Linked DNA regions of Schizosaccharomyces pombe. The gene in region 3 interacts genetically with the main gene of each other region. Each region holds a gene or a part of one and is shown on either strand. Other genes may lie near its edges.

Evidence for each region.
Region 1: mutations in cdc15 (region 3) and cdc12 impair growth when combined (synthetic growth defect), as found in Schizosaccharomyces pombe (8 studies listed by BioGRID, with this or other methods).
Region 2: mutations in cdc15 (region 3) and clp1 impair growth when combined (synthetic growth defect), as found in Schizosaccharomyces pombe (5 studies listed by BioGRID, with this or other methods).
Region 4: mutations in cdc15 (region 3) and cdc4 are lethal when combined (synthetic lethality), as found in Schizosaccharomyces pombe (4 studies listed by BioGRID).

Annotation. Positions count from the first base shown.
Region 1 is NC_003424.3:281,212-291,814, forward strand, and holds cdc12 (cytokinetic formin Cdc12), read left to right. Parts: upstream 1-2,132; 5' UTR 2,133-2,264; coding exon 2,265-7,790; 3' UTR 7,791-7,989; downstream 7,990-10,603. Other genes in the region: exocytic docking protein Mso1, read left to right, coding at 738-1,193; SPOM_SPAC1F5.03C (FAD-dependent oxidoreductase), read left to right, coding at 8,741-8,774, 8,976-10,090. UniProt on the Schizosaccharomyces pombe protein: Plays a role in the cell cycle. Involved in cytokinesis. Component of the cell division ring. In the absence of profilin, caps the barbed end of actin filaments, thus preventing subunit addition and dissociation.
Region 2 is NC_003424.3:4,766,875-4,773,504, forward strand, and holds clp1 (Cdc14 family protein phosphatase Clp1), read right to left. Parts: upstream 4,843-6,630; 5' UTR 4,786-4,842; coding exon 4,737-4,785; exon of another isoform or gene 4,682-4,736; coding exon 3,117-4,681; downstream 1-3,116. Other genes in the region: qcr8 (ubiquinol-cytochrome-c reductase complex subunit 7), read left to right, coding at 236-267, 457-474, 520-733, 837-851; exonuclease Rex3, read right to left, coding at 1,033-2,655; box H/ACA snoRNP complex subunit Nhp2, read right to left, coding at 5,808-6,272. UniProt on the Schizosaccharomyces pombe protein: Protein phosphatase which antagonizes mitotic cyclin-dependent kinase cdc2, the inactivation of which is essential for exit from mitosis. To access its substrates, is released from nucleolar sequestration during mitosis.
Region 3 is NC_003424.3:1,396,084-1,404,843, reverse strand, and holds cdc15 (F-BAR domain protein Cdc15), read left to right. Parts: upstream 1-1,907; 5' UTR 1,908-1,957; coding exon 1,958-2,038; intron 2,039-2,096; coding exon 2,097-2,188; intron 2,189-2,364; exon of another isoform or gene 2,365-2,379; coding exon 2,380-4,817; exon of another isoform or gene 4,818-4,828; intron 4,829-4,873; coding exon 4,874-5,046; 3' UTR 5,047-5,644; downstream 5,645-8,760. Other genes in the region: CCR4-Not complex subunit Not1, read right to left, coding at 1-1,522; cir2 (electron transfer flavoprotein-ubiquinone oxidoreductase), read left to right, coding at 6,921-8,760. UniProt on the Schizosaccharomyces pombe protein: After the onset of mitosis, forms a ring-like structure which colocalizes with the medial actin ring. Appears to mediate cytoskeletal rearrangements required for cytokinesis. Essential for viability.
Region 4 is NC_003424.3:5,326,419-5,333,111, reverse strand, and holds cdc4 (myosin II light chain cdc4), read right to left. Parts: upstream 3,925-6,693; 5' UTR 3,895-3,924; coding exon 3,864-3,894; intron 3,812-3,863; coding exon 3,680-3,811; intron 3,607-3,679; coding exon 3,466-3,606; intron 3,400-3,465; coding exon 3,307-3,399; intron 3,235-3,306; coding exon 3,206-3,234; 3' UTR 2,594-3,205; coding exon of another isoform or gene 2,333-2,593; 3' UTR 2,288-2,332; downstream 1-2,287. Other genes in the region: serine/threonine protein phosphatase PP2A scaffold subunit Paa1, read left to right, coding at 447-461, 513-560, 615-720, 829-1,732, 1,794-1,894, 1,950-2,287, 2,333-2,593; SPOM_SPAP8A3.07C (phospho-2-dehydro-3-deoxyheptonate aldolase), read left to right, coding at 5,003-5,011, 5,283-6,392. UniProt on the Schizosaccharomyces pombe protein: Involved in cytokinesis. Required for the formation and function of the contractile ring.

The DNA.
Region 1 (10,603 bases), 1.1 Mb from region 3:
ATTACACAGTGGGGTGTTGTTAAGCGTGAGAGTATGATGGCTCAACTCCAAAAATGCACTCAGCTTTGTGAACGCAGAACAACTAATATATACGATATCCTTATTTAGTTTTCGTAGTGAATACATATTAAGGGCGAGGCTCTTTTTCACCGACATATATTTAATTTAAAGAAATTTTTATTGTAGATACTAGTTTATGATTTTTGGAAGACTACAAGTAGTAAAATTAAAACTTACCTAACTATTTTAAAACTACATTTTCGTAGTCCATTTAGAAATTATGTATACCTTAATTAGCTACTACATAGTAAGATTGCTCAGTATTGATTTTGTTTACCAAGCTTTTCATCGTTCATTCTTTTTTTTAGCCGATTTCATGCATCATCTTCGAGAGTATCTAAATTAAATGTTTAAATCCACCCACAAATTATTTTTATTTGTAAGATATTAATCAATTGGACATTTGCAATAAAATTATCTATTTATGTGCTGATTTTACATTCGTTAAAACATATAATGTAGTTCATGGTCGTGTTATTAATCACTTTAGACAGTTTAGCGAGTTGGCGTCTTTATGAAATCCGCGTCGCCAGATATTAAGCCGTTCTTGGCATCATAATAATGGCTAAACTTTTTTATTAATTACTTTTATTGAAATTTTTTGAATTCAAATGCCAAGGTTCTTTAAAATTTAGAGATTAAGTAGTACATAAAGAAACGCGAACTCTCGATTCATCATGTGGTCAAAGTTATCGATTTCTTCAAAAATTAATCGTATTCGCGACCCTGAAAGCGATAATACGATTGAAGATACTCACGTTGCTCGTGTAATGAGAAAATACTATATGGACAAAATTGGGACATTACCTGAATGGCTTCGTCCTCCTGGATGGCAGCCTCCAGTTAACACAGGACCTACTTCCCCAGTTAGCATAAATGCAAGTAATGCGGCTCCTTCAAATTTAAAAGCTTCATATATTCCGGCCAATCCTAGGAGGCTATCGTCCTCCACTTCCTCTGCTTCGTCTCCCCCTTTACGACGATTACCTTCTGTTCAACATAGTACCTTTGACGATTTGTTTGAAGGTGTCGGAAGTCTTCAAAAATCACCTTCCACCACGAAACCTCTTTCCTCTACACCTTCCGGCTCATTGCTACGGTCAAAATTTGATCACACTAGAAAGAAGTTTTAGTTGACACAACGATACCTTTACTTTACTCTCATTGGTATCTGTTAATGGCGTATTAATGATCAAAACGACTTTTTGTTTCTTTGAAAATGCTGTTACTACGTATGTGTTATTCTCAACCTCGTTTGTTAATAACTAAGCCCATCTTACCCAGAAGTTCGACATTTGTCAGTACAGAGGCATAATTACTTATTTTACAACTTTGAGTTAGCTCACCTTTTCTGGTTTTTCCTTTAGTAATTATTTTTGGAATGACCTGACAATAAGGTGCACTATCCTAAGCAACTCGCCTTTAGTTTGAGAACTATCATTTAGTCTAATTAAATAACCATCACATGTTCTTTATGTTTCTAACCGGATTGTAGCTTTAAAAATTAAACTGTTCAAAAAGCGCTTGGTAGAATTAAAGCTAGTAGCTGAAATCAATTCAACATTATAAAAACTTATCGTTACATACAGCGCATCGTATAGGTTTCTTTAATTTCTAACTCGAACACTTAGGGACGAATTGTGAAAATTCGTTATTGTAATTTAATATGGTATGTAAATAAAAGCACCAATGGATTCGTTCTTGTGATTCTCGTTTATTTGCAAATTTCTGGTTATATTTAGCTCAACGTGACAACAAAATATGTTACGAATGCTTTGTAAGTAAAAATGATCTTCACGAATGTATTTTCTCATTGAACAACGTTTTAAGCAACCAGAAACCGCATCCAAATGCAGACTAGACTTACAAGACGAGAATTTCGATTATCCTAAAAATAAAATTTAATACGCTATAACGCAATTTAACCATTATAATATTAGATATATCGAAGTTTCATTTCCTTTCAACTTACTTGTTCGCAAGTATACGTATTATCTTAGATCATTTAAGCCATCCCAACCCTTACTCGCTAAGTGTTCCACTTTATCCAAATTTGAAGGTCAACAAGTTCTGAACATCAACTTTTAGCAAATTTAAAAAAAAGGTTTAATTGAGCTAAAACTTTTCATCACAGTTTCCTTGTTAATACTTGAAAACAAGATCCTGAAAGCAATTACAATGCTGCATTCGTTTATGAAGTAGAGATGCGAAATTCGTCAAAGGGACAGGACCCTAATTTTTCTTATGACTCTATTCTGTCTACTCCAACTCCATCAGCCAGAAGAACTATTGGGCCAAGGGCTCCTAAGTCCAAAACAACGTACCATAAACCTCCATCATCCATAGAATCAGTATCGACGTTAATCCAGCCTAATAAGTCCCAATCAGTTACTTCTCCGTATGTAAAGCAATTTACCTTTTCATCGAAAGAGTACAATTCTCATAATAAACATGCTTTGCAAAATTCCCAGCTTCCTTTACCTAAAACACCCGAGAAATCTACTGTCCATCGACCCAAAGCGAATAAAGTTGAAGTCACTGATCTACCATCTTCGTCTTCCGTTGAACATTTGCACACTTCTAAACATCTCAAGGGTCCTAGGTTGCCCAAAAACATTATTAAAAGTTCTGAGGATGTCCAAATTGCTCCAGTGACACCCCCTGTACATTCTCGCTCTTTTGATCCTTTGCCGAAACCTCCTGTTCCCTCAGTTCCAGTATCTAAGACAAAAAGGCGAACTAAGCATAAACTTGCTCCTGTTGTTGAAGTCCCTGAGATTACCAACGAGGTTTCCCCAAAATTCACTTCTACTAATGATGAACAAGTTTATCGACTACGTTCAATTCGAGCTGGGAGCCCTAATTCGGTATGCTCGTTTCAGTTTGAAATTCCGAGTACTCGACCACCTTCATTGGATCAGCTAATACATCTATTCAACGATTTTTTAAGACACCCTGTATTTGATTTTGACGAAAACGCCATTGAAATGCTTCAAAGTTGTACTCCAGATGAAAAGTGGTGTTTTATTCGTTCTAACTTCGCCGGGTTTGATGATCCTTCTTTCCAAATTCCAGAATTAGCTGCCGTCCATAGACCTGTTTCCTGGTTCGTAATCCAACTATGGAATAAAACAATTAGTAATTTACAACTTATCACACTTTCTTCTTTATTATCAACTCAATCCGATCGATGGATATCTCTTTTTCTTGAACTGCAGGGACTTCGAGCTTTGCATAATCTACTTACATATTTTAATTCGTCTGCCGTAGTGCAGCCTCAGCAAGCTGAAGTTCCTCGTTGCATGCTTACTCTTTTGAAGAAAAAACCTACTCTGGTTACTTCCAATTCTTATATATTTCAAGCAATAACAGTGACCCTTATATCCCCAAATTTGCTTCCGAGGAAAGTAGCCGCAGATTTATTGACATGGGTTCTGTCTTTAAAGGAACCTCTTGTGGTCTCCATATTGGAAACTGGATTTAAAGAAATAAATGCCGAATATGAAAAGGAGGTTCCGCTATTCTTTGGATGGATAAAATCTTTCAAAGACATAATCTTGGAAAAAGAATTAGCACGAACCCCTCCATCTTCTCCTGCTCGAAATTCTGCTTCCAGCTCACCTTCAAACATAGCGTTTCTTGAGTATTGTACTTCCACTATGGAATTTATCAATCAGCTAATTGTTGCTTGCGAAGAATTGGAGCAAGGATTTGACCTTGATATATTGGATTCCCTTCGTGAATCAGGTATACACGAAGTTATACAACTTCTACGTAACTTTCCTGACCAACAACTTGAGAAACAACTAAACATATATGAATCAGAAGAAGAGAGGAGGACTATAAGTCAGACCACGCATGAAGATGTCGATTCCTTTATGTCAAATGAATCCTCAATTTTAAGTAGCTTCAATGAATTTGCATCAAATGAAGTTGGCCGTTTACTTGAATCAACTATTCAAAACATACTACTTGCCAAAGGTACTGAAAAGCAAAAGGTGAAACTTATCAAGGTTTTTAACTCTTTACTTCAAAGAATACTGCTCAATTCAAAAGTATCCAATGAAAGTTTTGAAGATAGTTTACAGGCATCTTTAAATATGCTAACCGAAAGATTCTATTCGGATGACACAGCCAGAAATGCTTTGAAGGAAGCAAAGGCGTCACGTGCAATGGCTGAGAAAATGGTTATTGAAAGAGATGCAATGGCTGCGCAAGTAAATCTGGGTGCCGAAGACTTAATTGCGAAGTTAAACAAAGAAGTAGAGGATCAGAAAGACGTTATTCTTTCTCAGAAAAGAACGAATGAGACTCTAAAAACAGAAATTGATGCTCTCCAAAAGTCTCATGTTACTCAAATCCAAAGGAGCGAAGTGGAATTACGAGAATTGTATCTTCTTATCAATTCGGATTCTTTTCAGGGCTCAACTAATTCCAAGGAAAGGATTATAGAATATTTGTTGGATAAGCTTGACTTGAGGAAAAAGGAAATTGCTGCAGAGTCAACACTTTGGTCAAACGATGGAATTGATGACAAACTTCGGGATCTAAGGGAGCAAATGTCTCGACAGTCCAGCCAGCCCTCAACTGTGTCAACTATTTTACAAATTCCTGATAAAAAATTTCATCGTCCATTCCCTCGTCATTTACATCGATATGTTGGTCGTTCAGCTTCTGAATCGTTAACCAGTGAAAAGGATGAGTCCATCAAAAGTATGAAAGGAATTGATGACTTTGCGAACTTGGAGATTCCGGGAAAGGGTATTGAGTCAAACGTCGTAATAAAGGATATTTCAAATCAAACGCATGAGATTAATAGCGTTGAGAACAAAGCAGAAACAGTTAGCAACAATAGTAAAATTACGAACTTTGATATTCCTAATGATGCAACTTCTTTACCAACGATAATTACACATCCAACTCCACCACCACCTCCTCCTCTTCCTGTTAAAACTAGTTTAAATACCTTTTCCCATCCTGATTCTGTGAACATCGTTGCTAATGATACATCGGTTGCTGGGGTTATGCCTGCTTTTCCACCACCACCACCACCTCCTCCTCCCTTAGTAAGTGCAGCTGGAGGTAAATTCGTATCCCCAGCTGTTTCAAATAATATATCAAAAGATGATTTGCATAAGACTACTGGTTTGACTCGTCGACCAACTCGTCGTTTGAAGCAAATGCATTGGGAGAAGTTGAATTCTGGGCTGGAATTTACATTTTGGACGGGACCTTCTGACGAGGCCAACAAAATTTTGGAAACCTTGCATACATCAGGGGTCTTAGATGAATTAGATGAAAGTTTTGCGATGAAGGAAGCAAAAACATTGGTCAAAAAAACATGTGCTAGAACTGATTACATGAGTAGTGAACTTCAGAAGCTTTTTGGTATTCACTTTCACAAGCTGTCTCACAAAAATCCGAATGAGATCATTCGCATGATTTTACATTGTGATGATAGCATGAACGAGTGTGTTGAATTTTTATCAAGTGACAAAGTACTAAATCAACCTAAATTAAAAGCAGATTTGGAGCCTTATCGTATTGACTGGGCAAATGGTGGTGATCTAGTTAATAGCGAAAAGGATGCTTCAGAGCTTAGTCGTTGGGACTATCTTTATGTGAGACTTATAGTTGATCTTGGGGGTTATTGGAACCAAAGAATGAATGCACTAAAAGTTAAAAACATAATCGAAACCAATTATGAGAACCTTGTTCGTCAAACAAAACTTATAGGGCGGGCTGCTCTTGAGCTTCGGGACAGCAAAGTTTTTAAAGGTTTGCTATATTTAATTCTATATTTAGGAAACTATATGAACGATTATGTGCGCCAAGCTAAAGGATTTGCCATTGGTTCACTTCAAAGACTTCCATTGATAAAAAATGCCAATAACACTAAAAGTTTACTTCATATACTTGATATAACTATTAGGAAGCATTTTCCTCAGTTTGACAACTTTTCCCCTGAACTATCAACCGTCACTGAAGCAGCCAAACTGAATATTGAAGCGATTGAACAAGAGTGCTCCGAGTTAATTCGTGGTTGTCAGAATTTACAAATAGACTGTGATTCTGGGGCTCTTTCCGACCCTACGGTATTTCATCCTGATGATAAAATCCTTTCAGTTATATTACCCTGGTTAATGGAAGGCACCAAAAAAATGGATTTTTTGAAAGAGCATTTACGTACAATGAATACTACCCTGAACAATGCTATGAGATATTTTGGTGAACAGCCTAATGACCCTAATTCCAAGAACCTGTTCTTTAAACGTGTTGATTCTTTCATAATTGACTACTCTAAGGCTAGATCTGACAACTTGAAATCGGAAGAAGAAGAAGCTTCACAGCATAGACGTTTGAATCTTGTCAACAATCATAAAGAACACGTGCTTGAACGTGCAATGTCTGAAAATAACAAAATGGATAATGAAGCAATGGATGGTTTCCTTGATAAATTGAGAAACGTCAAATTAGAAAGTCACCATAAACCACGAAATAGATCCGCCATTACTATGGGTAAAGAACATTTAATAGAAGCTCCTAACACTTCTACTAAATCTAGTCCTGCAAAAAACGAATTATTTGTTCCTAAGAGATCTTCGGTAAAAAGTGACTTGGCAAAAGTTAGGCCAAGGTATCCTAAGGGTAGTGAATCAACCGATGGATTATCTGACGCATTAAATATTACTCCAACGAAAAAAGGAGAAGTATCTAGCAAAGCTAAAAAGGGATACAACTACGAAAAGCGTCGTTCGGGCCGTCAGGTATCTGATAGCTATGTCCTTAACAAAAATTCGAAGAATAAAAGTAATAAGGGTCGCTCCGCTTCTTACACTTTTTCTGATCCAAGCAGTTTGGAAGATTCTAATAGGCAAAAACCCTTTAATGGTGAGAAATTTCGAAGGTTTAGTTCAAAATCAAGAAGAGGTTCACAAAACCGGGATTCTAAGAAGACGGGTAAAGCTCGAAAGGATAAAGGTATAAACAATAACCAGACAAGCCCTCAGAATAAACCGTCTAAAGAATCTCTAAAATCTGATACTATTTCAAACGAGAAGAAAGTATTTCCTCAAAAGGCTTCTAAAGTTAATTTGCTTACGCCGACAATTTCAAATGGTACTAGGGCAAGTAAACATGCTAACGAAAAGGAGAATACTTTTCCTCGTGGTGTCGAAAATAATCTGGTTGCTCCCATGATTCCTAATAACACCGAACTTAATGAAGATACCAGCGCTGTCTCTCGGAACTTAGAAAATGCCACCAATGACTTGAAGGAAACTTTTCCGACTACAACTACGATTTCAACAGCCAGAGCTAAACCTGGTAACAATGATATTAACACTATTTTACGAAGAAACAATAGCCGTGGCCGTCGACGCATGTTGCAGCAAATGAGTCCTTTGAAAAGCAATAAATTTTCGGGAACTAATGATTTGAATTTTCAACAAGCTACTAAACCAGACGGCAGCAATAAGTCCTCATATATGGAACGTCTGGAAAAATTGAAACAAAACTCTGAACGACATCTTCAATCAGTAGGAGGTAAGAAGGTTTATTCTTCTGAAGAAACGCCCGTCAACAAAATATTAGTATCGCCTTCCGTTTCTATTTTGGATCATAACCGAATCTTAAGTCAAAGTACTCCTATCAAATCACCACAACGAGCACAAGAAATGCTTGCAGGTTTATTATCTGGAAAATTGGCGCCTAAGGAGAATGAGAAATAGGTTAATGATGCAATCTTTCTACCATTGCATAATTTTTTTTTCTAATTTTGGAAGTTAGTTTAGTTGGAAGATTGCCCTTTTTTTGAAGTGTGTATCATGTTCATCATTTTTAATAGAAAGAGCTGGCTCGTTTGACATTTTGTCATATTTCTTTAAAAATCTTCTTATGAGTATGTAAATATAATGATTTAAATCCCTATTCTATTTATCATAATGTCTGTTGCGCAAATTGATGTAGAACTCTGTAAAATTTTTCAATCTGAAGTAAAATAGGACTAATGTTAAGATGAAAATCGTTTAGAAATCATTCGATGTGTGCTAATGTTTCTTCGTTTCTTTTATAAAGTGACGAATCATTGGCGAAGACTCACTATTTAAATATTGCTCAATTATATTTTCGGTGTAATTAACTTGTTACATTTTCTAAGGCAAATACATTGTGCTGTTGCAGAACTGTCTTTTCGAGAAACATACTCTGATTGATGTATCGTTGGTAGAATGGTAGAACACGAGCATGCATTAAGTCAAACATTCTACAAAATGAAATTTCAATTATTTTTATACACATGTTGTTTTTCGAGAAGTCTAAAATTAGTCTACGCTCGAGTAGTAGCATGTATAATTCAGTAAATAGCATAACTATTAACTATTGAGATTGTTTATGTGCTTAATCTTTTTTTATAATTTAACTAGTGCTCATTGAAATAGATTGACGACGAGCTTTTTAAACGCTTTAACTACCAACTTGCGCTGACCACTCACTATTGGTTTTAAGTTCAACGGATTTAGAAGATTAGCGCGCACATCTTGACCACCGAACTACCCAACACCAACGTTGTGAAAATTTTAAATTCGTAATCTTTCTTTGAAAATTGGAATTATTGGTATATAATTAAATTTCAGAGTCTACATTACTTGGTTTAAATTTAAACCGAGTTTTAGAAATAACAATGAGCAATTCTCGAAACATTGTAATTGTCGGTGGTATGTGACTTTAAAAATAGCTGGACTCATGATCTCTTTTATCTTAACTCATATATTGTTGATGTTGTTGATATTGACAAGAAGTTCATCAGCTTTATGACGGTGAAACTTCTTTCCTGCCATGCTCAGATGAGCTTTGCTTTGATTGCTATTTTACTTTACTGCCGCAATTTTCATAACTTACTAACAAATATTTTTCAGGTGGAATCACCGGTGTGAGCTGTTTATATTTTTTGGCTCATCACCCCAGTTTTAATCGTGATCGTGACACTATAACACTTTTTGAAAGTGCTGGTATTGCATCTGCCGCTTCTGGAAAAGCATCTGGTTTCCTTTCCTTAGAATGGCATGGCCCTTCGACGAGTTCTTTAGCTGCTCTTTCGTACAACCTACACAAAGAATTATCGGATCAATATGATGGAGTCAATAAATGGGGTTATCGAGCGTTAGATACTTGGTCCATTAAAGCTGACGAAAATTGCCAACAACCTGATAAATTGCCTGAGGGAATTGAATGGATTGCTCCCTCTATTGTTGAGAATGTTACTCGTTTAGGAAACAAGAAAAATTCTGGTCAAGTTCATCCTTATAAATTTTGTCATGCTATTTACGAAGAGGCCAGTAAGGTTGCAAACGTTACCTTGGTAAAAGGTCATGTATTAAGTGTTGATGAAAATGAAGTTGAATATCGGCTTATTGGTGATGACTACGCCCCGGATGAAGAGGAGGAAATTACTTCGGCTGAAGAACTGCATACCATTCATTCAATGGAGGCAACTCACATAATTGTCGCTGCCGGTCCTTGGACTCCCCAATTAATACCCAACTTGCGAATAAGTGGAGCACGAATTCATAGCATAACTATCGATCTTCCTATCAAGCTAAACGGCAATGCTGTATTTTCTGAAATTACCTATAAAGATGGGACAATTGCTGCTCCGGAGTTTTATGCACGTGAAGATGAGCTGTATGTATGTGGTGAATTCGATGACGAGCCTTTGCCTGAATTGTCGTCAGATACGAAGGTGGATCAAGATAAATGCGCTTTGATTAAACAATGTGCCAACCATTTCCACCAAATAATTCGTGATTCTCCTGTTAAAGTTCGTCAAGCGTGTTATTTGCCCATTTCTAATGCAACGGGTGCTCCTGTCATTGGAAAAATTGGTTCATCTATTTATGTTGCGGCAGCTCACGGCTGTTGGGGTATAACTTTGGGACCTGGTACAGGAAAAGTGTTATCTGAACTCATTTTGGATGGTGCTGTTACTAGCGCAAACATTGATCTTTTAGATCCGGAAGGTTCTTTGGAATAAAATCACCTTAATTATGGCCATATTTGTCTTCATATCCCTTCTTGTTTCTTATTTTTTTACGCTTAGCCTTTTATCCTTTATTTTCACTCTTTTATTCATCACATTCTCATTTATGAGAAAAGTCTAGGCATATTTTGGGAAACATATTTTCGAATCATGGTATTGATAAGATCATGATTATGAACGACTACTTTACTACCATCAACTCATAACAATTCTTGTTTGCTATCATCTTATTTTTGTCTTGACATCATAGTCAGCTTGAAAATTATTTGTTTTTCTATCTCCCTTTTTGAGCATTTTGCGTACCGATTTTGTTTATTTTTCCGTTGAACTTTTTGTTCTGCTTAAGTTAGAAGTAGAATCACTGAATACCGTCATTTTTAATGTGCCTCTTGATCACGGTGTTGAGTTTCATCCTGTTGGGTGCATTTTACGGCATAGGCACTTAGTGTATATATTTTGTAAATCCCTTTTTATTTAGTGTAATTTATTTTTCTACATAATTCGATA
Region 2 (6,630 bases), 3.4 Mb from region 3:
AGCAAGACTAAGTATGACTTAACTGCAACCTCTAGGAAAATCTATATTCATGATTAATAAATACATGATCTTATTATTTAGAATTTTAATAGTAAAACTAAATAAAAATCTTGAATAAAAAACCAAGAATTTGTAAACGTCTGAATTATTATTGGTCTAGCAGACCCGCACACTTACCCTTAACAAACATCTGACTTTGTAACGGCAATCATCAATATATTATTGTTTTAACAAAATGGGTGGTGCTGCTGGAGGAAAAACTTATTTGTAAGTGCAACTTAAAGCAGTTTCTGTTTATAATGGGTTATATGACTTTTCTTTGACGCTTATAGCGTGAGACGGTGGACACAATTGGTGTTTATTTCGTAAAGCCATTTTCGTCAGCGAAGTTATATACATTCAAATAGCTGCTGAGAATATCATTGAACGTTTTTATTTATACTAACACATGAATAGAGGATGGTGGGGCCATCTGTAAGTGCTATAACAATTTGATACATTTTTACTTACTTTAATAAGAGGTGGACCTAAACAAAAAGGAATCATAACATATTCCCTTTCCCCATTTCAACAGAGACCAATGGCCGGCTTCTTCAAAACTTCTACGCAAAATATGTTTCGTCGCGTCATGACTGAAGGTCTATACGTAGCAATTCCGTTTGGAATAGCTTACTATATTTACTGTTGGGGGAAGGAGCGTAATGAATTCCTCAATTCCAAACATGGAAGACACGTAAGTTAATGACTGAAGAATCGATAAGCAGCTATGGTTTGCAGCATTTTTCTATACTTCTAAATTGTGTCAATAATTGTCATTTTACTAATATGTGGTTTAGTTGGTGGAGGAATAATGATGAGAATGAAGTATTCATTTTGGTAGAAGGATTTACAAAATTCTTCCCTACCCTTTCCTTATTGGGTTTACAATTACTATCTCTCTCCTCTCATTATGCTTAGTATCAGAAATCTATATATCCAACAAAATTACTTTGTGATATGATCTATCTCTTGAATTTGAAAACATTATTACTCTTAGTTTTGACTTTCATTTGATTTTGTCTTATAAAAGACAAGTTGTAATGCTGAAACAGCGTCTTCTTCGCTATCGTGTGTAGAAGTTTGTATTGTTGTTCCCAGATATTTTTTAGTCAAATATTTTAAGGAATATCTAAACGGCGGGCCTCTGGCATGCGTAAATAGAAGAGCAGTATCTATGACACGTTTGTGAATAAGCCTCATCGCATTCAAATCGTTTTCTAAACCATGTCCTATTAAAATTGTATTTTTATTCATGCCAAGTTCCTTTATTTTAATATACATTTGATCCATGGTAATTCCTGATTCTAATTCTTTGGCATCATGTATCCCGCTAAATCGAGTATTGAGACTCAAAATTTTGCCTTTAGGCTTTATAAACACATCCATAATAATGCTTTCCTTTGCTACCACCGTCAAACGAGCCAATTCCATCCCGTTCGTAGTGTAGCATAGTTCACAATCTAACGCGCAATGACTTAATTGCTTGCTATTTGTACTGTCTGGTAAGTAGGAAAATGGATGAACGCTAGCAAGATACGGAAGATGTCGGTATTTGAACACATGGTTGTCTTCTATAATACAACCAGACGAATCGCCCTCTTTTACACCACAGCAAGTGTATGTACGAATCTTCTCCCCCCCTTGCTTTTCACGAAACAGTTTTCCCCAATGATATGTACATGGTCCTCGAGGATCCGCAAACCGTGTACCACATCGATCGCATTCACGAAGTTCATCTGGCGGGTTTACTGGTGCAACGTCTCCAATATTATATCCCCATAGAATCAATTCTTCTTCCGAATGAACAAGTGACTCAAGTTTCTCATCAGGAGTTGATCCTTGTATTTCATTTTTCTTCGGAGCTTTCTTAAGAGATAAAATTTTAGACTTGCAGGAGGAACTGTATATCATTTTACTGTTTGCAGTTTCACAAATATTTTTTTCATCGAGAAGAGCAAGCATACTACTTTCTGCATTGGAATAGCCTAAATCCTTGTAAGACTCATATAACAAATGTGTCATTCGTTTTCTCAGTTCATGCCCAGCTGGTGAGTTGGAGTCATATTTAGGAGTAGGAATGATATTGGAAGACGCTCCTTGAGAATCTGAATTAGTACTAATGGCTGATACAAGTTGCTTCTTCTTATTAGGAACGATGGAAATGGCATCATTAAATAAAGAACGCTTTTTTAATACAGTATTTGTAGGTAGATGCGTCGTTTGATGATTCAACTGCTTGCATTTGTAAGTTTCTAGTACGTCCATACGAAAATTCTCATTCTTGGTTTCTTTAATGGAATCATTTGTCTTCTCCAAATTTAAAGTGGTGGATATATTTTGCCTAATGTTGAAATTAAGATTTTCAACCGAATGATAAGGGATACAGGTCGTAACTATTGGAACACAAATAGACAGTTTACAATTATCGTATTTGTAAGGAAGTGATTTTTCAATTTTAACTTTTGGGTACCCTTCAACATTTTCGGAATAAGGTGGTGAAATCTTTGTTGAGTTTTGAAAGTCATGACTAAAGAAACAATTCCTAGACTGACATTTGCGTCCAGTTCGTAGAAATGGACAAACTATGTGCTTAAACTGACCCAAAGGTGAAAACATTGAAGCAAATTAGGTACAACAAGTAGGCAGATTTCCGTTGGGAATTTAGATAAAAATTCTCAAGCAAAATATAATAAAATGTACCGCTACGAACAAAGATACCATGCACCCGCGAAAGAACCTCTTCAGCCAAAAATAGAATGGCGAAATCTTGAAATTCGTAATAAAAAACAAAGACTTTTTATATCATAACCAAAACAATTTCTCGATTAAAATCATTAACCATGGCTTGCAAAAAGCCAAAGTTTTTTCCAAAGAAATATGAATGTTAGTTAACAAAAAGGATAGCTAAGACATTAATGGTGGTGATCCCCACCGCGCAAAGGTGCGCTAAATCAGGGAATATTTGTAAAGTTAATTAATGAAAAATTATGCAGGGTTGACACAGTATAATTCAAAGTTAGTTTATATGAAAAAAAGGAATGTAAAAACTGCCATTTAAACCAGTAATTACAGGTTTATTAAGAAATTAGCCGGCTTTTAGAAGGCTTAGGTTTAGCAACACGGCCATTAGAAGTATTGTTAAGTGATGACATGCTAACACTTCGCTGAGCACTTTTTTTAGAATGACTAGACCCACTAGACCACCTATTTCCACTTGTACGTCGAATTGGACTACCAGTTGGTGAGGATGTCGGAGAACGAACTCCATTTGGTTCGATATTGCTTTGACTTGATGAGCGACGCAAGCGAACCACTGAAATTGTTTCAGTTGGAGTTCCAACAGTCCGTGTTTCATCATCATTTTGTATTTCTGAATCTTCGTAACTACTGTATGACGCTTTGTTCTCATTTTGGATTGATTGCTTGGAAGCATTTTTAAGTTTCTCATTAAATTTGACAGAGGACGCTGAAGGGAGACGTCTCGCCGACGGTGGATTATGTCCAGAAACTTTTCTCGGTTGGCCAGGCGTTGGTTCTGGAAGAGGAGTACTGATATTGCTTTGAGAGGTACCATTCGTAGCATTCAATGGATGGCGAGGAGGAGTAGCTAAGGGTTCCGCAGCGGTGGCCTGTTGGATTGCTCTTCCCATCGCCTTTTCGTAAAAATATGCACGGAAATGAACTTGATTAATATGTAACCAATGCTGTTGTGGACCTACAACCATTCCAGGACGCATTATTCTCATGTAAGCAATAACTTCATTAGCAGTAAAACAATGTTTGTATATTAAATATGCGCCAATTAAGCATCCAGTACGTCCGAGCCCTGCTTTGCAATGAACAGCAATCACACCGTCTTCTTCTACTTCCTCGGTAAGGTCAATAAACTCTTTGACAAGAGAAAGCTCTGGAACTGTGCCATCCTCAAAATACATCTCTTTATGTCGAATTCCAACATTTTCAAAAGTCTTTTTATCGTAAAGAGGTCCATTAAGCCTAACTATCAGTTTGACCTTATTAGCGACGAAATAATCGAGAACTATCGCAAACGGTTGAGGAAGTTTCTTTGGACGTGTGCTCGCATGATTCCAACCAGCCTGAATAGGACTTGCAAATGCTATAAACTTAGGAGATATCCAATTAAAATCTCCATTCTCCACTCTTTCATAAGTTTCATAGTCATGAACATCGATATTACGTATATTTAGTATGCTGCTCTCTCGTGCTCTCCACAGTCCGTAAACACAATCTTGAATCGTGATATAGTAATCTGAAACAGCATATCCCGCATCTCTAAACCCCAAAAAAGGAGGTTCTGCCTGAGCTAAAGGGGCTAATGCGAGATGTGGAGGCCAGTTTTGTACTAACACCATGTAGCAAGCTAACAAACAAGCGGCATTTGCACGCAACCTTGTATCTGTAGAAGAATATAAAACTATAGCCTTGCTTTTCTTAGCTTGTCTGTGTTTTCCCATGATACCATGAACTATCACTGCAAATCTAATAAGATGACTCACGTTCAGCGGACCAAAGTCATGATAAAAAGGGTTGTAGATCAATTCATCATCGATAGTAAAAAAATGCATATGAGGATATAACTCGGCTTTAGGTGGTTGCGACAATGATGTGTAGTATAACTTGTCTATTTAACATGTTAATCAATTTTACGAGATATTTGAGTTAAACTTCATGCATACCCTCCAAAAACTCAATCATTTCACCAAGCCCATCATCTTGGTAATCCATCAGACAAGTAATTGCGAATCTCGTCTATATTCGTCAAACCCGTAATGGTTGAGTTCTAAATTGTGTACCTGGGTGTTGGTGGTCCTTGTAAATAGAAGGGATGATAATGCACAAGAAAATATGTGGGGTGCGAAACAAATGAAGACAAAAGTGGATTCTAAACTATACACAACGTTATGTTGACATTTAATCTTTTCTCTTTATTAAAAAAAAAAAGACATTAACTTTTAGCAACACTATAGTAAATAAACAACAATAATCATTATCTTACAAAGTAAGTAAAAATGCACATCAATTTATGATAAACATACAGAATACTTTTTGCTCATACAAATACAACCCAACTTTTTTATCTGAAATTCGATTTGTTTTAGCAAATATATTTAAATCCGATAACAAAATCCGGATAGATAACCATATAATTGCCGGACCTTTAAAGCTACCCTAATCTATCATTTATGGATAGCACTGGAAAGCATAATATTTGTAAACATTATAATGGTAAGAACGACGTTGGGTGAAATTTAAGTTAGTTGTAAACTGGTTCTAACACGCCGCCTCTGAATACTAAATAGCAACCTAAACGAATAATAAAACTTTTTTGCGCAACTAGTTAGAAATAAACACAGGCTAAATCCGTAATGAAACGATCAGCGTAAACGAAATTTGAGGAAAAATCAGTTGATATTTCATCGCTGTTACAGCGATATACCATTCTCATATAAGTTGGTAAATGATACGATATTATTGCTAACAAAGTTTTGGAGGTATAGTGATTAGTTTGCTCGCAAACCAGTCTAAACCCATAAAATACTAGGGCATAAGAAAGAATGATAAAACACTAGATTAAAAAGGAAATTTTTTGAAACCTTAAAACCGACCATTAAGCAAAACTTCTTTTCGCTTACTATCAAGCAAACAGACATGATATACCAAAAGTTAAATCCCAGGATAAATACCAAATTTTAATAGTATATAATAATCTACATTAAATGGCTAAGCATCTTTTAGATATTGAACAATTAAACTTCAAGAGCAGGTACTTCTTTTATAATTTCCTCGTAGCTTTCCTTGTACTCCTCAACTTTAGACATGTCCTTCTTTTTTCCACCGGGAACAATCATAACACAGCTAGTAGGTCTCTTGGTGTTTGATGCTTCACCAAGCAACTCTTTGGAAACAGTATATAAGTAAGGGACATTATTGTCTTCACATAATACTGGAATATGAGATATAACATCCATGGGAGAAATATCACCAGCAAGAATTACAAGACCCTTCTCTCCTTTTCTAACAGCCTTTACAACCTCTTTGACCCCACGAAGGATGTGTTTCTGCTTCGAAGCCTTCTTGACAGTCTTCATCATTTTTTTGTTCAATTTTTTAGGAGCTAAAGGCTTAGCAATTGGCATTAAAGCAGGAAGATATGAATCATACTCATCTTCGGTGCTTCCACTATGCTTATGGTCTTTTTTATCTTTTGCCATGATAAAGAAATGGAGAAGGATAAGTTTGGAAGCCCAAAAGATGATCCCAATAAAACTTTTTTCAGTAACGCTATGTAGCGGATAATAGTCTGTTAAGCCATCTGTATAATACGTAATTTTAAGATACCAGCTTTGGTAATATTCCTTAAATTGACATAATGCCTACTATTCCACGAACGGAGTATTGGAAAAATTTACTGTAAATAGATGTTGCTGTCTTCCCTACTTAAAGATACTATTTTAAACTCCCTGACTAGTCCTAAGATTATATAATCATTTGTATTTATTTAGACAACCGAAACAGCACTTAAAAAGGCCAAATCAACTAAATGAACTAAGCGCTCATGGTTTAAGCTAA
Region 3 (8,760 bases):
GCCACAAACTGCGTAAAAAGGCGAACAAAAATTGAGGGTTTGTTCGTTCAATCCTAACGAAGACAAATTTATGTTCTTTGAAATTGGAAAAAAAGTCTGAACACCATTGAAACGCTAATGACTCTTGAACAGGATTCCATGCCAAAGGGAGCTGCAGCGTACCCAAAAGCAAAAGCTCGGCAGAAACTTTCTCATCCAAAAAATTCAAGAACAGTGAAGTTTCGTAGGTGACTACCTCAGATAACAGGCGTAAAAGGATTTGGACAAGTTCAATGCAATTTAAATTACTTTTTTCATATATTTTCGCATAATTAACAAGCTCTTCGCTATAATCCTTTAAGCTATCAACAGAAACTACAGGATTGACATTGAACTCTCTTATATCAAACATCGATGTTGGGGATAGGATAATATGAGAAATGATGGAAAGTTGCGGTAAAGGATTTCTCCAAAGAACCCAGAGAAAGTCCAACGTAAAATTAGTTTGCCTTAACTTGTAAGCATTTGTAAAGATTGTGAAGAACAGTACAAGACTAGGTGTACCCGTTATCATAAATTTAGGATTATCGAACATAGAAAGCATAGCTTCCCAATTTAGGTTTTCAAAAGAGGAAACGATAGCTTTACCCATCAAAACAGTGTCCCAAGCACCATAATCATGTATAGCTACAAGTGAATTTATAAGATAAGCAACATCAGTCTCAGTAGCCGTTCCCGGGGGATATTTTTTAAGAATTGCTTCTTTCATAGACTTAAGTGTAGCTTTGGAAGCTTTCATCGGACCAAACAAAGCTGTAAGAGGGCGTGAATTCGCCAACTTTTTCTCAATTATAGCATCAAACTTTGGAACTTTAATCAAGGGTATTCTGTCATAGTCGGTGGTAAACAAACCTTCCCTGAGCAAATCCAAATCGTTTTTATCAATACTTTGTTGCTGAGTAGGATCGGATAGTTGGTTTAAAAGAGATTGGAATGTGTTTTTAAGCAAAGCAGAAGCTTTCTTTGCTAAAGTAGGTTTAACAGAAGTGGTAAGTCCAATTAAAAGGTTAGTCCTTTCTAACGGGGAGAATTGGAAATGGTCTAAAAATGCCTCTATATCGAAATCTTCAAATACTTCAGAATCAGAACCTGAAATAGCATCACTAAAACGTTTCGCCATGACCCAAGACTTCGTGAGAGATTTTAATTCATCTAGTAGTAATTTATAAGTAGCTAGTCCATCAGAAGATTTACCGGTACCAAAAATACGGTATGAATTTCCTTGAATTAGACGGCGAAGAAAATGGTGGTATACTCTGGGTGCATTTTTGTTGATAAGTTGACGAATCTGTTCAAGTTTCGTATCATATTGGTCTTCCCGTAAGGTCGACAATAAGAAAAGGATTTGTGCTTTAACAATACTTTCAATTTTTGAATCGTTTGGTGGAGGGGTCTTAGAATCTAGTGATATAGGATGCCCAGATTCAGAAGTTGAACTAGATTTCTCTCGTGTCTCCGGCGTTTGTTGTTCTTGGCTCTTCATATTTTTAACGCTTTTCTATTACCATGCCTTTGTGAGGCTATTATTATACTCCTATGCTATTTTCAGCTGATATATTCTTTGAATATTTACAGATGAGATGCAGCAGTATCTGCTAGCAAGTTTGAATGAAAATAGGTGCAGTGGTGTTTTGCAAAAGATATGTCGGTCCTCCTCACTGCCAGGCAGTCTAAGAAAGGATCGAACATTAAATTTAACGAGACTGTATCTTTCGTAAACTTTTTTAACAAAATTTAAGGATAGAGTTAATTTGCAGTTGCTTATTGTGCACTCAGATAGGCAACGGTTGCTAGGGACGGTTGTCACCGCAGTAGTCGCAGTAAACAAACATGTTTACTCTTTTCCTGAAATCGACTACCAGGAATTTACCAACAACAAATCACAAATTTTGCTGCATTTTGTTCTTTCAATAACAAAATGGAGGTTAATGGAGTCTCTCAATCTGAAGCGGCTCCGTACGTTACCAAATCTTCTGTTAAGTTCCGCGATAATTTCTGGGTATGTGTAAATTTGCTGTATTTAGTAAAGCAAAGTTATGTTAACAAAATCGTTGCAGGGATCTGAAGATGCGGGTATGGATGCTCTTATGTCCCGAACAAAATCTTCTCTTTCCGTATTAGAATCAATTGATGAATTTTACGCAAAGCGGTAAGTATGGTTGCCTCGTTTGGAAGTTGCAGCTCTACCTTAAGCGCTACGATGATTCAAGAAATATGTTTTTGGTCGTTTCATTGTCATTTAAGATGTTTTACAGATAATCGTGGATTCTTAAGATAGCTTGTGTAATGAACCGAAGGGTTCGGTATGATTATTGATTAAAGTCTGACTAACTAAATTAGTGCTTCTATTGAGCGTGAGTACGCATCTAAACTGCAAGAGTTAGCTGCCAGCTCAGCAGACATCCCAGAAGTTGGATCAACTTTAAATAATATTTTATCTATGAGAACTGAAACAGGGAGTATGGCCAAAGCGCATGAAGAAGTCTCACAACAGATAAATACCGAATTGCGAAATAAAATTCGCGAGTACATTGATCAGACGGAGCAACAGAAAGTTGTTGCAGCCAATGCCATTGAGGAATTATATCAGAAAAAAACGGCTCTCGAAATAGACTTATCCGAGAAGAAGGATGCCTACGAGTACAGTTGTAACAAGCTGAATAGCTACATGAGACAGACAAAAAAGATGACTGGTCGTGAATTAGACAAATACAATTTAAAAATCCGTCAAGCAGCGCTAGCAGTAAAAAAAATGGATGCGGAATACAGAGAAACAAACGAATTACTTCTTACAGTTACTCGGGAATGGATTGATCGTTGGACAGAGGTCTGTGATGCTTTTCAACATATTGAGGAATATCGTTTAGAGTTTCTCAAAACAAACATGTGGGCCTATGCAAATATAATATCTACTGCTTGTGTAAAAGATGATGAATCTTGTGAAAAGATTCGACTCACACTCGAAAACACTAACATTGATGAAGATATTACTCAAATGATTCAAAACGAAGGTACCGGAACTACAATTCCCCCTTTACCCGAGTTTAATGACTATTTCAAAGAAAACGGATTAAATTATGACATCGACCAGCTCATTTCTAAAGCTCCTTCTTATCCATACTCCTCTTCGCGTCCCTCAGCTTCTGCATCTTTGGCAAGTTCGCCAACACGTAGCGCTTTTCGCCCCAAAACTAGTGAAACAGTTTCATCGGAAGTTGTATCATCACCACCTACTTCACCATTGCATTCACCAGTTAAGCCAGTGTCTAATGAACAAGTTGAACAAGTTACAGAGGTTGAACTTTCTATTCCCGTTCCTTCTATACAAGAAGCTGAATCCCAGAAACCAGTACTTACAGGGAGCTCAATGCGTCGACCTTCTGTAACATCACCAACTTTTGAAGTAGCTGCTCGTCCTTTGACTTCAATGGATGTTAGATCCTCTCATAATGCCGAGACTGAGGTACAGGCTATACCCGCTGCAACAGATATATCACCCGAAGTTAAGGAAGGTAAAAATAGTGAGAATGCTATCACGAAAGATAATGATGATATTATTTTGAGTAGTCAACTTCAACCTACTGCTACCGGAAGTCGGTCATCTAGGTTGTCTTTCTCTCGACATGGACACGGGTCTCAAACTAGTTTGGGATCTATCAAACGAAAATCAATAATGGAGCGTATGGGGAGACCCACTTCTCCCTTCATGGGTTCTAGTTTCTCTAATATGGGTAGCCGAAGTACCTCACCTACTAAAGAAGGATTTGCTAGCAATCAACATGCCACAGGCGCGTCTGTCCAGTCTGATGAGTTAGAAGATATTGACCCCAGAGCTAACGTTGTTTTAAACGTTGGACCCAACATGCTTTCTGTTGGAGAGGCACCAGTGGAATCCACATCCAAAGAAGAAGACAAAGATGTACCCGATCCCATCGCTAATGCAATGGCTGAATTAAGTTCGTCAATGAGAAGACGCCAATCGACATCAGTTGACGATGAAGCGCCTGTTTCTCTTAGTAAGACGTCTTCTTCTACAAGATTAAATGGCTTGGGCTATCACTCTCGAAATACTTCTATAGCTAGTGATATAGATGGCGTTCCCAAAAAGAGTACCTTAGGAGCTCCTCCAGCCGCACACACTTCTGCTCAAATGCAACGCATGAGTAATAGTTTTGCTTCCCAAACAAAGCAGGTGTTCGGAGAGCAACGAACCGAAAATTCAGCTAGAGAATCCCTTCGTCATAGTCGAAGCAATATGAGTAGATCTCCTTCTCCAATGTTATCGAGAAGAAGCTCCACCTTGCGCCCAAGCTTTGAGAGGTCTGCATCTTCTCTTAGTGTACGCCAATCTGATGTCGTTTCGCCAGCACCTTCTACAAGGGCTCGTGGGCAATCAGTGTCTGGTCAACAAAGGCCATCTTCATCTATGTCGTTGTATGGTGAGTACAACAAATCTCAACCTCAGTTGTCTATGCAACGTTCTGTTTCTCCCAATCCGTTAGGCCCTAATCGTAGATCGTCATCAGTCTTACAGTCACAGAAATCTACTTCATCTAACACATCAAACCGAAACAATGGTGGTTATAGTGGATCGAGACCAAGTTCAGAAATGGGTCACAGATATGGGTCTATGAGTGGAAGGTCCATGAGGCAAGTTTCCCAAAGATCCACCAGTCGCGCACGGTCACCAGAGCCGACTAATAGAAATAGCGTTCAATCAAAGAATGTCGATCCACGAGCTACTTTTACGGCTGAAGGAGAGCCAATTTTAGGATATGGTAAGTTCATTAAAGAGAAACTTTAAAAATTTTTAATTTTACTAATTATAATTCAGTTATCGCACTTTATGATTATCAAGCTCAAATACCTGAAGAAATTAGCTTCCAAAAGGGCGATACATTAATGGTTCTTCGCACACAAGAAGATGGATGGTGGGATGGTGAAATTATTAATGTTCCAAATTCAAAACGTGGTTTATTCCCGTCGAACTTTGTTCAGACGGTATAGACACTGATTACCCTCTTTTCTAGATGTTTACACTTGCATTCTTTTTCGCGTGGTTACTATCTCTTACTAATCCGTAATTCCTTATTTTTTTTTTGATGACTTAACGCGAAACGACATGCTTTTTTTTTTTAAATTCATTTCTCGTCATGGTCTAAGCTTCGTTGCATTGCATAGGTATTTATACGCATTTATTTTGATATCTAAAGATTTCTGTTTTAAAGGAAATACACATAGAATCTAGTTGATTGGAATATATTTTATTTTATTTTATTAACAATGTTTGACTCCTTTGTCCTTTGGCTATTGTAAGACGTAAGAATAACACTAATTGTTTTTGAAGATTTCGTGCATTTCAAAGTTTCATATGATTTTTACATCAATTTCAAAACCGATTTTAGTAAATTAAAATCAAGGTACGATTTGGTATGTAGCTTTGACAAGATATAGCTAAATTGCTAATTTTTATCAGTAACTAGAGGATAAAGTTGAATAAACCAAAAATATAACACGATGATGAATTTGCCTGCTCAAAAATATGATATCCGCAGATGTAGGATTCTGAGCTTTACTTTTTAAAAAGAAGCCGACCGATAATTACCAGAAAATGCATTTGTGGATAAGGTATGTTTGAAGAGTGCAAACCCAGATTTTTTGTTTGGCTATAGATACAGTGTGCATCAACTAGCTTGTAAACATGAGTGTTAGGAGATATGAATAGATGCTTATAAAATGATCTGATTGAAAAGAAGTCTCGCTAGCCTGAACAGATAAGATTATTGATTGAGGTATAAAAAGACATAAGACCCTGATTTTGCAAAAACACATGCGTGCCTTTATATTTACATACCTACTTAGTGAAAAAGCTACAGATTTTGTTATTTGCTTTAACGATACAATGAACTGCGGTGAGTTTCGCTTATGAGCTGTTTATTCTATGATACTTTTGAATAATAGAGGTAACAGTTGCTATATATATTGTTATATGTAGGTACTGTTGTAATTTGTCGCTGAGAAAGAACTGAAGAACGAGGATCTATTTATCGTGTATTATTCTTAATAGCTTATATTTTATTGTATTGTTAGCAAGATCTATCTCATGTTCGTATTATCATGACACGATGTGCAAATTGAATGAATGAATGAATAATGATATGTAGCGTAATGCAGTATTACTGACACATACACTGATTTTACACAGTATCTCTAAAGCCGTCAAAAACAGAGAAATTAATTATCGTTAAATTATTTAACGCCATAAATAGAACTACTGCCAAATTCACCAGAATATCATAAATGTAATAACGAAATTTTTCACCAGAACCTTCAATTTTATTGATAGCGGCCGTGATAATTGGTTTTCCCGCACATTTTAGATTACTTAGATCCGATTCATTGGCTGTATCCGTAGCCTTCGGTTTAATTCAGGAAATGCAATTGGTGCGCTGTTAAAGGTAAGGAGCGGCTTCCTCGGTTAAATGACGAATGTCCTGCGTTCCTTTATTTATTTTATTTACATCTTCTTTTCCTTTTCCTTCTTTACTACACATGTCAAATTAATAGCCACTAGCTTGACCGATTAGAGAGAATCCAACTTTTTTCTTTCTCTTTCATTCCTGTTGTTTTGTATCTGTCTACACTTGTTCGTTTTAGCGGTGCGGGATTTCCAAGTGTATTAACGGGTGTCTGTTTGTGAATAGTTTTTTTTTTTGTCTCGTCTTAAGGCTCCTTCGTTTCTAGTTTTGTAATATCTTTTTTTGTATTATTTGATAATTGTTTTCATTTGTTGAGAAAGTACTTGATATTAGCTTCTTGTTCTGTTCGTATTAGTGATTACTTTTAAATTTTTTCAGCAATTGTGCTAAAGTGCCTAATTAATGTCTTATTTATCGAGATCTGCACTCGCTCGGTCAGTCGGGGCTAAACACCTTACTGGGGTATTGAGAAAAATCGGGAGAAGGGGAGGAAGATCGATGCACGTTCTCCCTCTCGCTTCTCCTAGTACTCTTTTAAAAATCTCTTCTCAAACTTTACGTCAAGATTTCACCGTTCTGGGCGCTCGTAATTTTCATTCAAGTTCCGTTCGACTTAATGAATTGACGGATAATTTGCGTAAACTAGATACTATTGAGCGAGAGGTCGAGGATGTGGATGTGTGTATTGTTGGTGCTGGCCCTGCGGGACTTAGTGCTGCCATTCGTATCAAGCAACAAGCTGCCAAAGCCAACAGAGACATTCGTGTCGTGGTACTTGAAAAGGCTGCTGAGCCCGGTAACCACAGCGTATCTGGGGCTGTAATTCAACCTACTGCCTTAGATGAACTACTTCCTAATTGGCGTGATGACCCACCTGAAAACTGTACTGCTGTTACTCACGATAAAATGAAGTTCCTGATCCCAAAATTGCATTTCCCTATTCCTGTCCCTCCAGCCATGAAGAACCACGGAAATTATGTTATGAGTTTAGCAGAATTTACCAGATGGCTAGCTGCAAAGGCCGAAGAATATGGAGTTGAAATATATCCTTCTTTTGCTGCTTCAGAGGTCCTCTACAACAAAGATGGTTCTGTTATTGGCGTTGCCACTAATGATTTTGGTGTCGATAGTAAGGGTTTGCCCAAAGATAATTTCGAACGCGGCATGGCTTTTCACGCACCTGTCACCTTATTTGCTGAAGGTGCTCACGGTTCCCTATCAAAATCTATTATTAAGCGTTTTAATCTTCGAGGAAATTGTGAACCTCAAACCTATGGTTTGGGTGTAAAGGAGGTTTGGCGTGTACCTGACGAGAACTTTCGCAAAGGTGAGGTAGCCCATACATTAGGATGGCCAATGAGGAATGATACATATGGTGGTGGTTTTATGTATCAATTTGGCGATAACTACGTTACTGTTGGTTTAGTTGTTGGACTGGATTATCCTAATCCTTATGTTTCTCCCGCCTTAGAATTTCAACGTATGAAGCAAAACCCCTTTTTTGCTAAGGTGCTAAAGGGCGGAAAATGCCTGGAATATGCCGCACGTGCTCTTAATGAAGGTGGTTATCAAGCTATTCCCAAACTTGTGTTTCCTGGTGGTGCACTGATCGGTTGCAGCGCTGGATTTGTGAACGTTGCCAAGATTAAAGGCACTCATACTGCGATGAAATCAGGTATTGTTGCCGCTGATGCCATTGTAGATGCGTTTGGACGGGACGCTGCCAGTAAGCCTCTTCTTCTAAACGATTATGAAGAAAATCTAAAGAACACGTACGTCTTCAAAGAACTTTATTCTGTTAGAAACATTCGACCATCTTTTCACTCATTTCTTGGTAATTATGGTGGTATGGCTTATTCTGCCGTGGAAGCATATGTACTGAAGGGTCGTGTCCCATGGACATTAAAGCATAAAGGAGGAGATGCAAAGGCTACAAAGTCTGCATCAAAATATAAACCTATCAATTATCCCAAACCGGATAACGTTCTTTCTTTCGATATTCCAACTTCGGTATCCCGTTCCGCAACAATGCATGCTGAAAACCAACCCTGTCACCTATTCGATCACCGTCCTAAAGACCGTAAATCATGTTTTGAAACATATAAGGGCGTTGAAAACAAATTCTGCCCTGCTGGGGTGTATGAATATGTTAATGATGAAGCTTCTTCATACGGTAAGCGTTTTGTCATAAACTCTCAAAATTGTGTCCATTGTAAGACATGTGACATTAAGGACCCTTTAC
Region 4 (6,693 bases), 3.9 Mb from region 3:
AATTTCCAAAAAAATAATCAATTAACATACTCATGCAAAATCGTTTGATGTCATATAAAAGCTTTAGCATTGGTAGAAATGTGATTCCAAACCATATCCCTTAAACAATACTTCTCAAAAACAAAGATTAAATTAGGTCAGGAATAAAGAGAGAAGACATAAAAAGAATTCGTGATGCTAGACAATTCAGTATGTAAACATTTAAGTGGAATTTATGTTCAGTCAAAACTCTGAAAAGCAGAGTATATTATAAACACAAAATAGTTTTTTAGAATTATTCAAAATGATTCATGTTAAGGAAAACCTTTGAGATACTTGCTTGGAAAACTGTTTCAATTTGGTAGCGTCCGCTGTAACACACACTCCTTCTTCACCTCGAAAAGTTTAAAACTTCCTACCCACTTTATTTGCTTGTTTGCTAAGAACGAGTTGTTCTATTATATAAAATGCAAACAGAGAATGTGTGTTACAAAATGTCTCTTTTACAATTTATTAACCACGACTATTTATAGCAAGTGAACGATTTGTATCCGATTGCTGTTTTGATTGATGAGTTAAAGGTTGGTAACAAATTGTTTTACGTCTGATATGTTCAACTCTGACTATTGTTAAAGCATGATGAAATTACTTATAGGCTCAATGCTTTGGAACGGTTATCGACAATTGCTCTCGCTTTAGGTCCTGAACGTACAAGGGATGAGTTGATTCCCTTTTTAGATGGTATGCATTCAATAATAAAATTATGGAACTATAGGTTTAAATTTTTAAAATTCTTTATATTTTTTAATAAACGATGTATGTTTGTCGGCTAACATTCCTTGAATACAGAATCGATTGACGATGAGGACGAAGTCCTATCAGCTCTCGCCGACCAGTTAGGAAATTTTGTAGATTATGTTGGAGGCCCTGAGTATGCGCATGTCCTTTTGTCTCCCCTTGAAAATCTTGCTGCAACTGAAGAAACGGTAGTCCGCGATAAAGCCGTTGACTCTCTCAATAAAGTATGTATTTGCCTATCCCAAGAACAATTAGAGCAATATTTTGTTCCATTGGTTCAACGTCTTTCAACCGCTGAGTGGTTTACCTCTCGTGCGTCCTCTGCTGGGCTTTACTGCGCGGCATATTCTCAGTCAGAAAATCCTGCTGTCAAAGTCTCTCTTCGTCAAAGTTTTAGTCATCTATGTCACGACGAAGCTCCCATGGTCCGTCGTCCTGCAGCAACGAACTGTGCCAAGTTTGTTTTTTTGGTAACTAAACAGGAGGCTATTGACGAATTCATTCCATTGTTCAACTCCCTTTCTAATGATGACCAAGACTCAGTTCGGCTCCTTTCTTTCGACATTATGGTTTCTTTGGCGGAGGTATTAAAATCTGACTCGGAAATTCGTCACTATTTGCTTCAACCATTAAGGTCTTTTGTTTCGGATAGCAGCTGGAGAACACGTTATATGGTTGCTGCTAATTTTGTAAAACTTGCTAAAGTAGTTGGACCATCTCTTATTAAAGATGAACTTATTAAACCATTCGTACTGCTCATGAAGGATACCGAGCAGGAAGTCCGCCGTGCTATTGCTACTCAAATACCAGGATTTTGCGAATTGTTGGATAAGCGAATTGTTCTTGAAGAGATTATTCCAGTTATTCAAGAGTTAATTAATGATCCCGCTCAACATGTCCGTGCTGCTTTAGGGATGAACATAGGTGCTCTCGCCCCACAATTAGGAAAGGAAAAGTATGTCTGCTAAAAATAACTTTTCTTTTAAAAACCTCATTTTACTAATCGTTATATTTAGGACTACAGAGTATCTTTTACCAATGTTTTTGGAATTACTTAAAGATGAAAACCCTGAAGTTCGTCTTAACATTATTTCGAAATTGGAAGTTGTAAACAAAGGTAAATTGCAAATTCAAAATATAGCTATTGCTACAGTTATACTAACTCACTTTAGTCGTTGGTATCGAATTACTTTCACAATCTTTATTGCCTGCAATTGTTACACTTGCTGAAGATAAACAATGGCGTGTTCGTCTTGCTATCATTGACTACATTCCACTACTTGCTCAGCAGCTTGGGGTCGAATTTTTTAATGAGAAAATGGGCAATTTATGTATGTCATGGTTAGAGGACCATGTATATTCTATTCGTGAAGCTGCGATAAAGAATTTGCGAAAACTTACGGAAATTTTTGGGTTGGAATGGGCAACTGAGACAATTATTCCAAAGTTTTTGGCTATGCGAAGCCATCCAAATTATTTATACCGAATGACAACTATTTTTGCGATCAGTGTAAGTTTTTCTTTTTTGCTTTTTTCCAGTTCTAACGTATTTTAGGAAATCGCACCTGCATTGAATGCTGAAGTAATTGAAAAACAAATTCTTCCAACTTTGGAACAGTTGGTTAATGACCCTATTCCTAATATTCGCTTTAACGTTGCCAAGGCGTTTGAAGTTCTTAAGCCTGTTTTGGCAGCTGGTGGTGACTCGACCGTATATGAACAGCAAATCATCCCATTGCTCGAACAACTTACAAAAGATAATGACCCTGATGTTCAATATTTTGCTACTCAGGCCTTAGAGCAAACAAATGACTAATTGTTGGGTTATATGATTGCATGTCTAAATGAGCCAAAAGTTTTACCTTTATGATTTGTGTTCACTATGTAAAAATGCAAAAGAATGGACTGTCTTGACTCTGGCCATTCGTTCGACATCAAGTGTCAAGCCCTACATCTAATTCAAAGCATCGTATTGACACACAGTAAATTAGATATACAAGATATACACGATATGGCAAAATTGGAGCCGAATGCATCAAGAAAGCTGGCATCAACCGTAATTACTTACGAAAAGTGTAATTTTGAATGAAAACTTATATTTACATCTGGAGAGATTCAAACAATTTAAGCAGCTGAGATATAAGGTCATTTGCATGAGATAACAAATGGTTGTTAATCATATTCATAAATATACGAATATAGAAGGATATCTCTATTTCCGTATGCTAAACGATATGTGTAGAAATTCCTGCGAGTATCGAAAAGTCCAGTTATCTGTATTCAGGAACATATTGCTTCATAGTCCCAAGTGTATCAGATGGAAAAGCTGAACGAAAGTAAACTATTGAAGACATAAAATTGAAATAAAGGTGTAAATAATAAAGGAGAAACATATGCCGGGTAAATTATGCAAACTATGTAGATTTAATTAATTGGCAAGAATCATTTGAACGAAATCTAAAGGAAGCAGTTAGTATAATTAAGTATAGGTAGTTGATTGCCGAAGCCCAGAGTAGTAATAGAGCATACCGTGATAATTAACCATGCCATCTTTTACGGGAACACCCTTTAATAACTCGTCCATTTCTTCGTTGCTGAGTTTTTCACCCAAAGAAGTTAAAACTGATACAATTAGTTTCGCATTTTTTTATCAATCTGAAAAAAGGATAGATCTCTATAAATACATACCATAGCGCAATTCACCCACTCCAATCATGCCAGTGGCATCTTTATCAAACACCTGGAAGCCCTTCACGAATTCCTCTGGGTCACCAGGCATATCAAACCCATTGGGACGATTTAACACTTGAAGGAATTGTTCCATATCGACTACCAATTAGTATTGTCACTTAATGCACGGCTAAGGAGTATAACTCTCCAAACCCATAACAAGAAATCATACCTTCTGCGGGCAAAGTAGATTCAATTTCAGTAATCTCAGCCAGCGTAGGATTTTGTCCACACGCTCTTAAAAGATCACCAATGGACGTTTTGGGGATGCGACCAGTTCCATGGCGGTCAAATAAAGAAAAAGCTATCTTTTCGTTAATAAACATTTTGAAATGATTTCAAAAAGTAGTTATTACCTTGTTTATAAGGTGAATCGTCTGTCGACATGTTTGACTATTCTAAATGGATTGTTAGGATGAAGGTAAGTGTACTAAGTCGACTGTAATCTGTGTACACGCACCTATAAGCCCCATAGCAACCGTTGCCATGATAATGTTTACTGTATAGCGATCTGTTTAGTAATTTACTAAAGAACGTAGAGCTATGTAAACCAGCTTATATGAACAGAATTGTCATTTACTTTGCCAGATTTTAATTTAGAACATCATTCGTATACAGAATATGAATAGTCATACTAATGTCGAGCTACTTGATAAATTATGAAATGGCTGGCGATTTCACTATTTCTAGTGCAATACAAAATACGAGAGTCACCGGAACACGAGAAATACAGTACTGATGCACTTCATAAATTCAATAATCACATCAGAATATCAGATATCATTAACTTGTTAACCTCAAAAGACTAATCTACCGGAAAGCCAACGCTGTCCACCAGACTTCTAATTTTCGGCGTTTGTGTACCAAAAAGGCAGTCACAGATGGTATATCTAAATTTTCGGGCTCACAAAATATGCATTGAGTAAAAGTAAAATAAACGAATCAATATGTTTTTATATGTTGCTTTAATGCGTGGTTTATATAATTGAGCGAATCTTGGAAATAAGTATTTTGATAAGCAATGTATATATTCTCATATCCCAGTGGTACATGACAGTAAACATTGTAGGAAACGTAATTATTAAATATTATATATCAATCCCTTTTAACATTAATTTATGAATTAATAAGAAACCGAAAAAAGGCTTTATTTTATGTTTTTACGCTCAACCTTCAATTTACTTTCAAGTAATTAAATAGCAAGTGAAATCTAGAAATTGATACAAAACAAAGGACTTATAAATTTGAACAAATTTTTAAGCGATGATGTCCAGAAATTGCCTACTACTTGTTTCGCAGTTCCGATGACTTAGAGCCATTATCACTGGATCATCTTATTACTGGACTACATATATTTTTCGTTGGCGCTGCTTCGAACTCAGACAGAACCAACCTTCGTCGTAGTAAAGGACCTTTAATAGTGTTTACTTACTTGGCATTCAACAACTTAGGAAGCACTCTTTGACCTAAATTTATTAATTCTATTTAATAAGCCATGTCTCCGGTAAGTAACCCCAATTGGGCATCCAAAGAATTTTGCTAGTAAAAATTTTCATCAGTCGGAGAAACAGTACTGAAAGTTATCTTATTGAGTTATATAGTAGATTTTACTATGCGGATAACAAATTTGTTTTTGCTGATGAATTTTTAGGCAATTGAAATTTTAAATTTTTTTGTTTCTTTTTTTTGAAATTTTTATTGCTTTATGTTGATTGCTATGTCCAGCATGTTTGGTCTTTTTTTTTAATGTCAATTTGCTAACATTATTCAATTAGGTTTTTTTACCCAGCGGTGAAACTTACGATCAAGAGCATCTTGATGACAACCGTGTCTTAGGTTACAACCCTTTGGTTCCTGCCGCTTTGGTTCAACAAGAGATTCCTGTTTCTGAAACTTCTCGCAAAGTCATCACTGACTCCAGAAAGGAGATTCAAGCTATTCTCAACAAACAAGATGACAGAATTATCGTTGTTGTCGGTCCTTGCTCCATTCATGACCCTAAATTGGCCATGGACTATGCTAAGTTGCTGAAGCCCAAAGCTGACGAGCTTCAGGATGCTTTGTGCGTTGTCATGCGTTGTTATTTGGAGAAGCCCCGTACTACTATCGGATGGAAGGGTTTGGTCAACGACCCTAACTTGGATGGTTCTTTTGCTATCAACAAGGGTATTAGGATGGCTCGTCAAATGTATTGCGACGTTACCAATTTTGGCATTCCTTTGGCCAGTGAGATGTTGGACAACATTTCTCCCCAATTCTTCGCCGACTTACTCAGTTTTGGTGCTATCGGTGCTCGTACTACCGAGTCTCAATTACATCGTGAATTGGCTTCTGCCCTTTCCTTCCCTGTTGGTTTCAAGAATGGTACTGATGGTACTGTTGGTGTGGCGATTGATGCCATTGGTGCTACCGCCCATCCTCACACAATGCTAGGAGTTACTAAACAAGGTCTCGCCGCTATTACCATGACCAGGGGCAACAAGGATACCTTCATCATTTTGCGTGGTGGTAAGAAGGGTCCTAACTATGATGCTGAGCACGTTGCCGCCGTTCGCAAAGATCTTGAGAAGGCCAACCTTCCTCCTCGTATCATGATCGATTGCTCTCATGGCAACTCAAGCAAGAATCATTTGAACCAACCAAAGGTCTCCAAGAGCATCGCCGAACAAATCAGAAATGGCGACTCTTCCATTGTTGGTGTTATGATTGAATCTCATATCAATGAAGGTCGTCAAGATGCTCCAATCCGTCCTGGCGTTAAGGATACTCTCAAGTACGGTGTCAGTATCACTGATGCTTGTGTTAGCTGGGAACAAACTGCTCCAATGCTAGACGATCTTGCTGAAGCTGTCCGTGCTCGCCGTCAAAACCAAAAAAGTAATTAAGACATATAAATGTTATATTCAGCAGTTTTAATTTTTTTAATTTTTGAAACTTATTTTTTCGTAACATACAACAACTGAACAATTTTGGCTTAAATACGGGTTCTATTTATTTTTTTTTGTTTTTTTTTTCTTATATCGTACACAGCTTCTACCAATAACACCTTCGTTTTTAAGAATTGCTGTGCAAGTTTTGCGAAATGTTTGATCGTTTCATATGTTTCTAATCGATCTCCTTTAGCTTGTAATCAGCCATAGGCACATTGGACACAAAATTTAAAACGTCTATGAGTACAGTTGTACA